3 linked regions of the Arabidopsis thaliana genome follow. The protein of the gene in region 2 interacts with the protein of the main gene of each other region in a pairwise test. Each region holds a gene or a part of one and is shown on either strand. Other genes may lie near its edges.

Region 1 (3,885 bases), 1.0 Mb from region 2:
GGATAGAAGGAAATGGTAAGTAGACTCATCATCCACTCTTCAAATCAAGAAACCTCATGGTCTGATTTTGTTTTGCTATTGAGACATTGTCGTGATTTTGGTTGTTGATGTAGCGGGGTCGATTAACATAAGCAATATCTTGACTGGTAAATGCTTAGCTAAGATAAAAGCAAATAATGGTCCTCCTAAGGAAGAGGACTGCAGCAGTAGTGATTTGGGGAATTCCTCTCGAAGGAGAAGTGCGGTTGCTGAGGCTTTGGAAGACATAACCGCTCTCTTCTACGACGAAGAACGGAATGAAATATACACAGGAAACAGACACGGCCTCCTCCATGTCTGGTCTAATTGAAGCTACTCATCATTTGTTTTGTTTTTTTTACATTAATACAAGAGATCTCTGTATCTTGTTCTGTTTCTCAATTGTGTAATATCATGAGATATGTAATTTACTTGTGTGTTTGAGTAGCAATTGTCGTTGTAATGAAACAGCAAATATTTCAAATTCGTCTCTCATTTATGTACACTAATGATTTGTCTGCTTAATAGGGTTAACCATTTTTGCTTTGATAGACTTGTTTACATGAACAAATAAAATTGGCCACTTAAAGAAGATTCTCTCACTCTCGCTGAACAAACAAGGTTTTCAGATTGTTTAGTTTAAGTACAAATCTTTCTAAAGCACACAGCATAAGACACCAAGACAATAAACTTGAGCCATCAGCTTCAGAACTCCAAAGAGAAGCCTGATCAGTAATTTGGCAGAGGTCAGAACTGAGATTTGTCAAGGCTGTCAAAGTAGGGATGATCGAGAGCTGCTTTTGCTGAAATTCTTTCTGCTGGATTGTACTTCAACATTTGCTGCAATTGTTCAAAGGTTCAAAACAAATTATCATCAACTAGGAACGAACCCCAACAGAAAGAATCTACTAAAGAGATCAAGTATGCAAGAGAATCTTAGGCCACTTCTCCAACAATGGTCATATTTTAGAAAAGAGCATTACCGTGAGAAGATCAATTCCTTCAGGAGATAGAGATGGAACAGCACGTGATAAGTCTTGCGGCTCCCACTTTGGATAGACATGCCAGTCACGCAATGCCATTACACCCGGCCATTGCTGCTCAGTTGGTGTTCCTAACAATCTCCAGAACCCAAAACAAAACCATACTTCAGATATATTGATACTAGACAGTCCCCATAATCCAAATGAGTTCACGAGTACTGAACCTAATGGGCTAAAGTCCTAAACTGGTTCCTGTATACATACACATTGGCATCAAAAACAAGAAGCAAATACCTGAAAATATGAAGTAGTTGCTGAAACTCAGAATCACCAGGGAAAAGAGCTTGCCTCCTAATCATCTCGGCTACAAAAAAATGGGGAAACATCAGTAATCCAAACAGTAGAACAAAAGACCATTAAAAGAGACATAGTAGCTGATTACTAACCAAAGATGCATCCAACAGACCAAATATCAACAGCAGTAGAGTAATGAGTAGAACCAAGCAAAACTTCAGGAGCTCTATACCAAAGAGTAACAATCTCATGTGTATAAGCCTTAAGAGGCACAGTAAAAGCACGACTAAGACCCAAATCAGCAATCTTAAGAATCCCTTTATCCTTATCCAATAGAAGATTCTGCGGTTTAAGATCACGGTGAAGCACACCATGGCTATGACAATGAGCCACACCTTTAAAAAGCTGAAACATAAACCTCTGCACAAGAGAAGCCTCAAGCGGTCTAGGATTCGAGCCCTTTCTATGAGAATCTATAAATTTCTTGAGATCAGTGTCGAGATACTCAAAAACGAGATAGAGATTGGATTTGGGAGAGTGAGAAACAGTCGAATCTTTCGATTGAATAACATGTTCGACGCAGAGGAGACGAACGATGTAGATTGATTGAGAAAGCATTTGGAGAAGAGAGATCTCACGGAGAGCCGTTGGTGGTATACCTTCTTCGTCCATTTCGAGCCTAGTTTTCTTCAGAGCGACGAGTTTTCCGGTGGTTTTCTCCATTGCTTTGTAGACTTTTCCATAGGTTCCTTCACCGACCTTTTCGAGCTTCTCGTATTTCTCCATTGATGGAGGATTTTGAATTGAGACTGATGAATGTTTTTTGTTTGGGTCTTATAAACCCTAAAGCCCCTTTTCGATTTTAGATCTGGTAAATAAAGGCGCCTCTTTGCTATAACGTTTAACATTTGAATCCCTCGCACGCTTCACACGTACCAATAATATTTTATTAGTCAAAGACTCAAAGTCATTTTAAACAGATAAGTATAGTATAAGATATTTGCTTGATTATGTTTATAGATTTCAATTCATTATCCATGGTGAATGTTTAGTTGAATGAATCTATGCATGATCTTTGATGTAAAGCCGGCCCTGAGTACAAAAAGCTAAGCTCATGCTTGCAGCCACAACCCATAATAAAGATTTTTCAGTCATTTATTTTGCTAAACTATTAATATTACTTGAAGAGTCGATCATTTCGCATTAATTGGTTGAAACTTCGAGCTTTTCCAACTTCATTTTAACTTTAATCTAGTATTTAACATACTAATTAATAAGACTATAACTGTTTTAGCTTGTATCCCATTAGTTTTCTCCTTATACGTTAATGTTCAATGTTTGGCACAAACTCAAAAAAAGAATTTCTTACTACGTAGTTTTTTTTCACTTACTCAACCAATTGGAAAAATGTTTAGGTTTGATTTTTTGTGTTCGAATTTGTAACTTCAATTATTTTGGGACTGTGAACTCTTACTCATTATTCATTAATGGTGGGTTGTTTCTTGTGTTCTAGGCTTCTAGTATACATGATTCAACTTCATATGATATTGATTCAGTTTCACATTTTTGATTTATTTCAACTTTATATTCTTCTTACACTCATTCCAATTTCATGTATGGTAATTGCATCAGTTTTGATCGATAGTTACATTAAGAAAACCATTTCTTTTTACAATAAAGATACTACAACAACAACAAAAATTCTGACTAGGTCTACGAATGTGCAAGGTATGCAATTTCACAAACTCATAAAAATCATCATAAGAAGTTCTATGTAAAGGGGAAAGAAAAACAAGATTATAAACAAATTGTGTGTTTCATGTGGAAACTAAACAATGGCTGAATATTAAAAAATTATTGGACTACTATACATAAAAGAAAATTACAATAATGAAAAAGAAAACAAAGATAATATTCAATGATAGGGCATTGACTAAACGAAAGAAAATGGCTTAAAGACTTTAAAGTTGATTATGAAAAACCGTTACTGATTTACTAGGGTCAATAAACTTATTTGCAACCATTTTATTAAGGGAATTTAATGAAAAAAACCGTCAGCTTTGGTCAGATCTATTTTTAAATTCTGAACTATGTTTTTAGTAAAACAAACTCTGAACTAAAACCTGTTAATAAACTTAACCCCATAGTAATTAAATATTAATGGGATATTAATTTCCAAAAATCGACCAAAGAACAATGACAGAATCCGTGATCCAACTGAAGATCGTCCACCTCAAAAAGTTCTTTATACACGTGAAAAAGTTTAAATGGTAAAATAGAGAACAATGAATTATGTTTCACAAGATCTTCATTTTCAAATTATTAAATTTAATCTTTGCATATTTAGACTTGCAGCAATTGTCAACAAGTCGGACACAACAAACGTTCATGCAAGTGTAAAGCAATGCCAAAACCACCCAAGAAACCTCAAGGACGACCAAGGAAAAAACAGAAAACAATGGATGAAGAGAACCCTATCACTCAGCCAATACAATCTTCTCTTCAAAGTTAATGCTTGACAAGTCTTTACTTTAGAATATCTTGTCCATCTGAAACGATTGTTTTTTTTTTGTGACAAATATTGTTGTGT
Region 2 (5,703 bases):
ATGAACGCGCAGTCACCGGTGGAGATGGACAATGATCCTCCATCACCGCGCGCTCCAAGACCGCTGAACAAATCACTATCTGCGTTGCGATCGCTAGAGAAGCAAACAAGCAGAGGGAGGAAGTGGCCGCCACCAACACCACCACCAACACCAGGCCGAGACTCCGCCGGAACATTTAACGGTGATGATGGAGTCAACATTCCTGATACAATTCCGGGATCACCCCTCACTGATGCTCGAGCTAAGCTGCGACGTTCTAACTCCAGAACTCAGCCAGCGGCATAGTAACGCAAACGTACATATACGTGACTCGACAAAGAAACCCTTTTCGTTTGTTTAAAGATATATAGGGAAAGAAAAGTGAATGAAAGTTTTGAATTGAAACAAAACAGATTTTTTTTTTTTTTTCATGTTTTCTGTAAATTGAAGCAGTAAGTATTAATACAGCGAGAATATTTGTGTTTGTTTTCGTTTAAACTTCCCGCTTTAATCCGGATATTGATTTGAGTTTGGATTTCTTCATATAGCTGATTATAAAGATGCATTTGAGTGGTCAAAAATATTATAATCAAATAGTGTACCAATGCAGCCGATGAAGTACATTCTCTGTTAAACTTACATTAGTTTCTCGGTGCTCCTCTACAACATCACTCTAGGCGATAAATGAATCATAATCTAATGGTACATTGTATGGAACGCACCTGCCATTGGTTCATACACGTTCTGTAGTTGCTCCCTCCTTGTATATGATTTTAGGGAGTGTTGTGAGGTAACACATTTGGGATCAGAAGTTGAGAAGTGTGCTTGGTATTCGATCATCTCGGGGTTGAGTCAACAGCTGTTGGTGCTATTTCGCCCATTCCTGGTGGTGGAGTACTCACGTCGGCTATTCCATAATCCCAATCGATACCAGCTTTTGCTAGAGTTAAGGATTGCGTATTTATATCTTATGCAGATAGATATAGTTAACTATAAGAGAGAAACAAATTGCATATATGCAAAGGATACAGTCAGTTTTCCAAATATCCGTCATGCTAATCTCAGCATTTGAGAGAAGCCAGTAGTCCGACTCATCATTCTGCAAAATACAAGACCAATATCAAACAACAATTATGAGGGTAGATTTTGAGTCAGGTTAATTAGTTTCTCTGCACAACTTCCTATTTCTATGTTCATTATAAAAATAAGCAGGAAGATGGCTTACTTCAACATCAGAGGGAGTAATCTTAAGCATTCCTCCTACTTGCTCTTGCAAATAATTAAGATCAGAGGTATCGCCGGGTTGAGGATGAGGATGATCATGAGACACAATAGCAGTTTCTGGGTTGTCAACAGTTAAGGCTTCGATGTCATGGTGTCCTGTAGATCCTGAGCTAGAAGCAATAGGCAAGCATGCTGGTGGTGCTGCACCACTCCCATTTGTGTCTTCGAATTTCCCTTCAAATTCGCTGAACATGAAGACAAAGTAAAAGCATGTAAACGGGACAATGAATGTTCCAAATCATAGAAATCTTTGTTTTGATACGTTCAATTATATGTATACCATCATCAGTAGAGTATATGAAGTCACGGAAAATGCCAATAACAATGTTTCTATTATTTGAAGCCAACGCATAAATACCTGACGAGGTATACGTCAATAGGTCCCATTGTACTTCTAAGAATGATCCTGTATCTCCTTTGTGGGTGGTCAGCCGCCTGTCAAGTAAAGAAGAAACATTATAATAACGTTTTGGAATCTAACAAAGAATGGCAGATGTCATCCAAGGTCGCTGAAAAAGACTAACTTCATCTGGATCAGGCACTTCCAAAGTTGTGCCATGAGGAGCTTTGACGGCTATCAGAGTCTGGTTCTGCAGAAACAGCAAAGAGAGAGTTAAGATATAAGTGAACAAGAAAGTCTTGGGATCGACATACATACAATCAATTGATCAAATTCCTAGGATTAAACATATGAAATAGGAAAGACAGACCTGGAAACCTGGTAAACTCTTGATATCCTCTTCAGTTACAAAAAGCCATCTGGACAATGTGAACGGATTGGTTAAGTGTCCATCATATAAATAGCACCATCTCATAGCCAGAACAAACTAGCCATACGAAAAGATAGATAGACAGAGATTTATACTTCTGATTCTTTTCATTTTCGCTCAGGTCTCTTAATCTTTCCTCTGTTTGTCTGAATAAAAGTTGTTAAAGCGTCAGCATTGGTTAAATAGATTAATCACAATAACCCAAAACTCTTTAAATGAATGCTTACCTGATTTGGTTGTCTAATGCTTGCTCTTCGAGGGCGAGGTTTTCAATTTCTGCCTGCAGCTACAAAACAAGAACATTAATCAAAGGAAGCGAGAACTACATGATATTTTAAGATTTACATGCACAATGACTTTTGAGTGTATGCTGTTTCACTACACCTGTAATACAGATACGTCAGCATCCTCATCGCCAGGACACGCATCAACTCCCCTAATCAAGTTTATTGATCATCAAGTGAGTTTACATGTAGTTAAATGCTTTCAGTAATATCCCAATGAAGCAGGATATGCTTTCAGTACAAAATACATAAGCATACTATATCATAAAAATCCTCACTTCCAAAGTATTCGATTCTTGAAAGGCTTTTCAATGAGATCTATCCCCTCCAAAACGTTTGTAATATCATATATACGTCGTTTCTGCACCTCCAATGTTTCTGCAGCTTTGTTTAGGTCCAGCATTCCATCTTTGGCTTGTTTAATTAGATTGACGAACTTTTTTGTAAGGAGACCTGAACAGCTTTTATGTCAGCATCTTCATATACACTATAACATGTATCGAATATTAAATATATATGTGAAAAGTTGTTAATTACCTAAAGAACTGTCATAACGACAACTTCCTGATGGAGTAAGTGTGATAGGAGAACCTGCAAGTTGACCAGGAAAGTAATCAGCTCTTCGACTTACTTGTTACTCTAGACATGAAAGATATTTCATAAAAGGATCTAACTATATAGAAAGGCCAAAAGGGGTAGAGAGTCAAGAATACAATTCTTCTTACCAGCGTTTGTCGAGATGGGTGTTTGAGGAGTTGACTTGTTTCCTTTGGCCTTTGACTTGATGTTGACTCTGCCCCCTTTTCTAGGAGTTTGACAGGGACTGCTAGGTATGTTAGTGAAACCAGAACTCGTGAATCCATTATTAGATGGAGCAACAACCATATCCATTGTCGCCTTTCTCTTTCGTGACTGCATATAAACAAGTTGTTATTAGCTTAAAGAAGTTGGTCAAAGAAATATCATCCAAAAGGTTTTAAAGCATCCACACACAAATTATCTATATCATTCCTCATAAACTTTCACAACATTGGGATCTACTTGAAACATTATACATTAACAAACAATGTCAAGCTTCATACACCAATACTTTGATATCAATAAGCTAATGCTCAACACTATGTGAACATTCAACACCTCACGCAACAATCAGAGCCAATTTGGCATGGCAATTGGAGAAATTGATGTCTGATTTGCGTCAATTGGGTGTAATTGAAACGCAGTGTTATGAGCAAAATGTACCATCGCGAAGCTAAACAAACGACAAAAATTGACACGAATCGACGATAATCTAACGCTGCGAAGCTTTTGAATCAGACTTAGAAGCAACAAGTAGCAATCGAAATCCCCAAAACATCCTCGAATTTCTAAACCAATCTCACTGGGGAAAATCTCTAAATCGAAGAATCAAAAGCACCCAAAACTCACAGGAGATCTAACAACGACAGCATCTTCCTCCCGATCTACAACACCACAACCATGAACGAAGCTCCTGTCGTTATTATTACTGAGCGAAGAAGGGTTAAATCGATGGTAATCATCGGAAGGATGAAACGGAGGTTTTGTTGAGGCGAAAGCTAAGTGACGACGTATAGGTGGTATAACCGGCGTAGATGTAACCGGAACCGGAGATGACGGTGGATGGTGCGGCGGCGGCGGTGGCGGCTGAGAAGAACCGGGAGAAGATCGTACGACACCGGACATGGATCGTAGTGAAGCGAGAGTCGAATTTGAAGATTCCGATGACGGGAAAAGCGACGGCGAGTGAAGGAAACAAGGGTTTTAGTGAGAGAAAGAGGAAGAAGAAAAGAAAAGGAGAGAGCAGAAAACGAGGGAAGGAGGGAATTTTATGTTGGGATAGATGTGGAGGGAAGCCTATAGCAATAATAAATAAAATGTTAAGGAAATAAATATATACTTTTTTTTCTTTCTATTTGTGCCCCGGGATTTTGTATTTAGTTTTAGATTGACCCTACTTACTTTAGGGAAATTACTTTTTGTGCCTTTTAGTAACGGGAATATTGAGATTCTTTTCTGTTCTTTATAATGGTGAAGAAGAGGAGATCATGCATATATATTTTTGATCTAGAACTTGTTTTTTGAATCTGAAATTTTTATTTAAATGTGTGTAGTCGGTAAACAGATTTCTGCAAATAGATTGGGATAGAGTTTGTTTATAGTACATGTGCTGCTGTTTCCGTTATGATATGTGTAATAATATTTTTATTTTTATTTTTTATCCTTTTGTATTGATTAGTGGTTGTTGTATCATGTATGGCAGTGGAAAAACTGATGCGAAGTGTAGATTAAGTCTAAAGTCACTTGATGAAGGATTCATAATTCAATTCAGTATTTGGAGGACTATAATATTGCACATGATTGATGTCATTAATTAGTATTAACGACAAATGAGTGATAGAAAATAGTTAGAAAGGGTAAATAGAAATTGGTAAAGACCTAGATTGGCAAAGTTTTCGTACCGCTTTTTTCTTGTCCTGCGCCGTTAGCTTATTACAGGTCACAAGAAAAATGGTTCACTTAGAGAGTGTGAGGCATTGTTGTATTGTAGTACCTTAAGTTCATTCATGTTCATTACGAGTGTACCCCATTTGAGCCGAGAGAATGTAAAGTCGTTATCAAGTTGAAGCCCAATAAAAACGGATTTAAGGCCCAAAAAAAGAAGGAGAACGGAAACAGAGAATCCGATCATAGACCACTGGCATTTCACGAACCATCAAAGGGACTAAAAGCTCTAGAACCAATTCTCCCTGTTAAGACTTAAGACCAATAACTAAACCGTTACGCTAATCAGTTCACACATTCATCATCTTGCCTCCAATTGTAGAATCACAATTCTCTGCAAATCGCAACTCTACACGGTTTCTGGACTTACATACACTTGATTTCTCGTTCACTAACAATAACTAGACCGAAATACATCGGAATCGTGAATTGTAAATGAACATTCTTTCTCTTATCAAGATTTAACTCACCATCCCTGTGTGTGTCTCAAAATGTAGGCAGAGGCTGGTTTCTTCATTCATTGAGTTCTTCATCATCATTCATTACAAAAATGTACCTAAAAACAAAGCAAACCCCATCAATTCTCACCAATTCTCCAACTCCATTAAACAAAAAAACAACAACAAAAAGCAAGAAACTCTCACTCACTTGCTTCCATGTTCTCCTAGCACACAAAACTCTATAAATCAAGAATCTTTTTGTACAGTAACAAGGCGAGAGGTCTTCAATGGCGGAGAAGAATCACAACATACCTCCAATGTATCTCTAAAACCAGCTTCATTAGTCTTCAACATCACCGGCAATGGAAACCTCACACCTTTCGCAGCACAAGCTTCATGTCTCGGTTTAATCCGATTCTCCAA
Region 3 (4,683 bases), 3.1 Mb from region 2:
TCAGGCACTTCTATATCCAAAATCGGATACTTAAATATGATCATTGATCTGTTCCAATAACAAGATCAAGAACACGGAAAAGTAAGAACCACCACAAACAACAAGCAACAGCATAAAACGTTGACACCAGGAAAAATCAATCACTCGTGAAACAAAAGGTAACACCAATGAAAGAAAAGGCTAGAGAAAGACCTTCAACTCATTGAACCGTGAACCAATTGCCTGGTCGGCTTTCTGCTGTTTAAGGGACCAACTACGATCAACCAATAGTCTCTTATTCTGTCGACCCATAATCCATTTCTGTGACATGGTGTACTTAGGCGACGGTTGCAAATTACCTTCCTCTTCATCTGCTATGTGCCATATATCCATATTCGAAGAGTTATCAATCAAATTAGTTAACAATACTACACTCCAAAAGGGAAAGACCCATCAGTTAAAACAATCCCATCTAAGATAGTCACTAACCAGAAGAATGAAATTCGTCGAGTTGAACAGCAGAAGTTGAGAGGTCATTAGTTTTGATTACTCCAGTCCACCCCACCATCTCTGATGGTGTGTTTTTGGTCAAACCAGGAGAAAACGTTAGTTGAGAATGACTAACAGCAACCTGAGTTTGTGCTTGAGAGCTGGGAATTCTAGATGCTAGAAGCTTTTGCCCGTCAGAAAATACAGTATTTGCGAAACTTTTTTCCCCTAGTCTTGATCTCTCAGTTTCTTTGGATGAGAAGTCCATTTCATCCAATCTTCCAGTGGGATTGTCTGTTCTTGACAACAGTGCAGAGACGTCAGGAATGCCACCCAGATCACTGGACGTATGTGTTCTCCCTTTCGGATCAAACAATTCTCCGCGGAAACCATCTGTAATGAAGACCAATTATGATCCAAGGGAAAGCATGTAAAAAGTGGATTCGAAAGTAACTTCAGTGAGCACCAACATTACCTTCTTCGCGGAAAGTATTTCGAAGGGCAATCTCTACGTGAAGTTTCTTCGGTACCAAACCATTTCTACGAGATGAAAATCAACCAGAAATTTTTAGAGTTACAATTGCCGCACCAAAAGGAGTATACAGAGGCTAGGAGACTGTAAGGTACCTAAGAGCTAGAAACACAAGGCACTGGGCTCTGAGCTGCTTCAGTTGTTGCTCTCTAAAAGGTGAACCTGAAGGCAGGAATCCCTCTCCTGCAACATTATTTCCAGGTTCTTTATGAATTGCAGGCCTGATTGCTGTGGCTTCACTGCTCTGCCAGCCACACTGCCATAGAAAATAAGATCCCACATATAGAGGGGATGAGTTCCAACGAGGTATCTTGGTATGAAATAAAAGAGGAAAGGACATTTTGCAGAGCCTAAGTCAGACTATATGCAAGTAAGATTCAATACATCATATAGAAGGCAAAGTTTTAATCAAATCACGTTTTTGAAAAAGTGAATTTAGTGGCATCTAAGTTTTTTAGGTTAAAAAACAAAGAAAATCACCACGGGAAATGCAAGCATTTTTTTCATATTTCCAATACAGAAAACGAAAATAGATAAGAAAATAATACTTCTAAGGAGAGACAAATGTTTCGGAGAATAAGCCACCATGTGCCAGCATATATCTCTTTATACATTCTTAAGAAGTTATTGTGCATCAGATACGTGTAGCACAAAGTCCCAAAATATTTGAAATTGGCAGAGTCAGGGAGGCTCAAAATGATTTCATAAACCTAATGTTATGTACACAATATGTATATAATCTGGATGGATTCGGGAAACTTAGTGTTATGTACCTGTGGAGTCGTGAATGCATCTGAGGACAACCCAACATGCAAATTCCTAATGTCACCTGAGGTTTAATGGCAACAATTGTAGGGTGCTTCTTATATTCTAGATTAAAAAGGATATGCTTTGTTCTGTAAGAAACAATGTTGAAGCAAATATCCCTACCTGAATTACCGGGCATTTCTATTTTGCTTACTTCTCCAGTTTGATCATCAATCTTGTGGCTATCAAATATTTGAGAGTTATCCATATTCTGGTCCCATGAAAGTGATGATTCACCTCTCTTTCTCTTTCCACTCGACTTGACATCTCTTTGATTCATTGTCTCACTACGATTGTGAGGTTGAGAAATTCCAGACGTAGAATCCAAGTTGGATGGACTCTCACGATCAAATGATCTGTTACTTTGAGTTCCAGACCCTTGGTAAAAGGTTTGTGACGCACTGTTTGATCCACCAAGCTGCCTACCAGAAGTGAATGCATCGTATTTTGTCATCTCATTTTCAACTAGAGTTGCTTTACCCTCATTGCTAACTCCAACCGCTTGGGAAGACCCTGTATTCCACATTGATGCAAGAAGCTTAAGATAATAAATAAATAAATAAAAAAAACAATTGAAACACTCAACTGAAACAAAGGAGAGAGGATATACCAGCCAAATGTGCAGACCCAGAATCTTCCGTTTGGGTACCACCAGGATGAGGAAGACACGAGGACTTCAAAGCTTCAATGTCAAGACCGTGTTGATTGACTACAGTGTCCATGGCCCTGGGAGTTTTAGAAAGACTTTATCAGTAAAACAAAAGTGATAAATCTTTGAAAGCATGAGAAACAGCTTGACGCTGAAAGACCCAGAATAACTAGATTCTAAAGTCTTGAGTTAGATAAAGGCTAAAGCAACTGATTCAGTAAGAAGCAGCCCCCACGTCCTCACAGCGTAAGAAGATTATATCATCTCAACCTAATCAGTAATTCATTAACAAATAACCAGCGACGATATATAAGGAAAACAATACCTAGATATGACTTGATAGGGCATTGTGTTTTCCTTTCCACTGGTTTTCATGTGCTGCAATATCTAGAGTAATCGAAAGAATAAACAAAGTTAAAGCACAGGAATAAAGCTCAAAATTACAAAATAAAACATACACTGAGTGGTGAAGCCACATTACCACATAAAGTTTAGTTGCTAGCTTTGCAGGTTCATCTTTAGAATCTTGAATAAGTTTATGCAGAAACTTAGCTGCTTCCAACTCAATATTATGCGAAGAAGACGTCATCTTAACTTAAATTACACCATCACATAAGAATTCCCTGCATCACCACAAGCATGCAGATATTGATTACACAATTCAGAATAAAACAAGACTAATTCCAACCAATGTGCCCAAAAAAAAAAACTAAACTAAACTCTAGAGTCCATACTCCATACCAAACAAATAAAAGAAAATAGCCCAAGAGCAAGTAAATCATAAAGGAGGAAAATTTATGTACCTAAAAGCAAAACTAAAGCGAGAAGAACCTAACAAAAAAAAAAAACTCAGAGGTCCACAATTCATGTGATAAATCCACGGATACATACAAAATTGTAAAATTGGCTGATGGAGCTAAAAAATTCCCCAAATCGCAAGGCAAAGGAGAAGAATTCGCGAGTTACTCTAGTTAATGCAACTCACAAAACCCTAAATAGCTAAATAACGATCCATCAGTGTAGAAGGAGACGAAGAAGAACAAGAAGAAAGAGAGAGGGAGCTTTACAAATTAGAGATCCGGCTCGAGAAGACGAAGCAGAAGTGAAATTTCAGGTGAGAAACGTTGAGAGCTGACAAGTGAAGAAGCTATGCGTCGTCTCTGCGAAATGACTCTCCAAATGAAGAAATGTATAAAACTTATTTCAGACATTAATCAAGAGTTCTAAACGAGACCCCTTAATGGGCCTTGACCCATTACCATAAAGCCCAAATTGAAAAAGATAAGTTATATCACTAAAAGAGGGCGTGAAGAGATGGATTGATAGACACGGAAAAGAGAGAGAGATTTTGGGAGATTCGATTCGAAGATGTTCGATCTTCCAATTGATATGGAGGAGGAGGTGCTCTCTAGGGTTCCGGTGAAATCTCTGGGGAAACTGCGATTGACCTGCAAAAAGTGGAACACTATAACGAAAAGTGAGAGCTTTTTAAAGAAGAAACAGAGGAATGGAATTGAGGTGGTGATGATGATGGACTATAGAGTTTCCTTGATGAGCGTAGATCTACTCTCTCCGTCTATAGATCCTATAGGTAATCTCAATGCAGATGGAATCAAAATATCTAAAATCTTTCACTGCCAAGGGTTTATTCTTATGCATCAACAAGGACAGAGACAAAGACTCTTCTAGGGTTGTTGTTTGGAACCCTTATTTGGGACAAACAAGGTATATCGAATTACCTAGAAATTCTATCTACCACAAGTGCGTGAAGTACGCTCTCGGATACGAGAAAAAGAATCACAAAATCTTGAGATTCGTGAATGAGTACTTGGAGACCAGTAGGGACCGAATTCGTGAGCTTCAGATTTACAGTTTATACTCCAATTCATGGGAGGTCATTGATGATTTCACTCCAGACTGGTATATTTTGTACAAACACAGTGGCGTGTCTCTAAAGGGAAACACTTACTGGTATGCCCTAGAAGAGATCCCATTTCATGGTCTACCATCACTAGATCACCCTGATTTTCTACTATCCTTTGATTTCAAGATTTGAACCGCGTCTGCCTCTGCCTTTCCGAGCCGTATTTGGAGATACTGTGACGCTTGCTAGTGTTAGAGAAGAGCAGCTTGCGGTGCTGTTTCACCGGGCATCCGTCGTCGAGATATGGATTACTAATAAGATTGAGCCTAATGCAGTGTCGTGGAGCAACTTGTTATTTGCTGT

The links. The genes of interacting proteins can lie anywhere in the genome.
Region 1: the proteins of E2F3 (region 2) and CDKB1;2 interact in a protein complementation assay, tested with the Arabidopsis thaliana proteins (one large-scale study listed by BioGRID).
Region 3: the proteins of E2F3 (region 2) and SYD interact in a two-hybrid assay, tested with the Arabidopsis thaliana proteins (one large-scale study listed by BioGRID).

What each region holds. Positions count from the first base shown.
Region 1 is NC_003071.7:16,150,747-16,154,631, reverse strand, and holds CDKB1;2 (cyclin-dependent kinase B1;2), read right to left. Parts: upstream 2,160-3,885; 5' UTR 2,082-2,159; coding exon 1,448-2,081; intron 1,366-1,447; coding exon 1,296-1,365; coding exon of another isoform or gene 1,226-1,295; exon of another isoform or gene 1,141-1,225; coding exon 1,002-1,140; exon of another isoform or gene 859-1,001; coding exon 766-858; 3' UTR 546-765; downstream 1-545. Other genes in the region: AT2G38630 (Transducin/WD40 repeat-like superfamily protein), read left to right, coding at 1-15, 114-349. UniProt on the Arabidopsis thaliana protein: Together with CDKB1-1, promotes both the last division in the stomatal cell lineage as well as the number of stomata.
Region 2 is NC_003071.7:15,118,006-15,123,708, reverse strand, and holds E2F3 (E2F transcription factor 3), read right to left. Parts: upstream 4,121-5,703; 5' UTR 4,022-4,120; coding exon 3,746-4,021; intron 3,710-3,745; coding exon 3,560-3,709; intron 3,230-3,559; coding exon 3,043-3,229; intron 2,991-3,042; coding exon 2,949-2,990; intron 2,909-2,948; coding exon of another isoform or gene 2,855-2,908; intron 2,771-2,854; coding exon 2,596-2,770; intron 2,470-2,595; coding exon 2,418-2,469; intron 2,320-2,417; coding exon 2,261-2,319; intron 2,180-2,260; coding exon of another isoform or gene 2,129-2,179; intron 2,023-2,128; coding exon 1,974-2,022; intron 1,854-1,973; coding exon 1,788-1,853; intron 1,699-1,787; coding exon 1,622-1,698; intron 1,449-1,621; coding exon 1,205-1,448; intron 1,079-1,204; coding exon 1,009-1,078; intron 914-1,008; coding exon 816-913; 3' UTR 525-815; downstream 1-524. Other genes in the region: HVA22J (HVA22-like protein J), read left to right, coding at 1-285; EMB3114 (Mitochondrial transcription termination factor family protein), read right to left, coding at 5,527-5,703. UniProt on the Arabidopsis thaliana protein: Transcription activator that binds DNA cooperatively with DP proteins through the E2 recognition site, 5'-TTTC[CG]CGC-3' found in the promoter region of a number of genes whose products are involved in cell cycle regulation or in DNA replication.
Region 3 is NC_003071.7:12,055,133-12,059,815, reverse strand, and holds the start of SYD (P-loop containing nucleoside triphosphate hydrolases superfamily protein), read right to left. Parts: upstream 3,046-4,683; coding exon 2,938-3,045; intron 2,844-2,937; coding exon 2,782-2,843; intron 2,534-2,781; coding exon 2,418-2,533; intron 2,321-2,417; coding exon 1,931-2,320; intron 1,830-1,930; coding exon 1,774-1,829; intron 1,257-1,773; coding exon 1,096-1,256; intron 1,009-1,095; coding exon 944-1,008; intron 862-943; coding exon 469-861; intron 354-468; coding exon 193-353; intron 1-192. UniProt on the Arabidopsis thaliana protein: Catalytic component of the chromatin structure-remodeling complex (RSC), which is involved in transcription regulation and nucleosome positioning.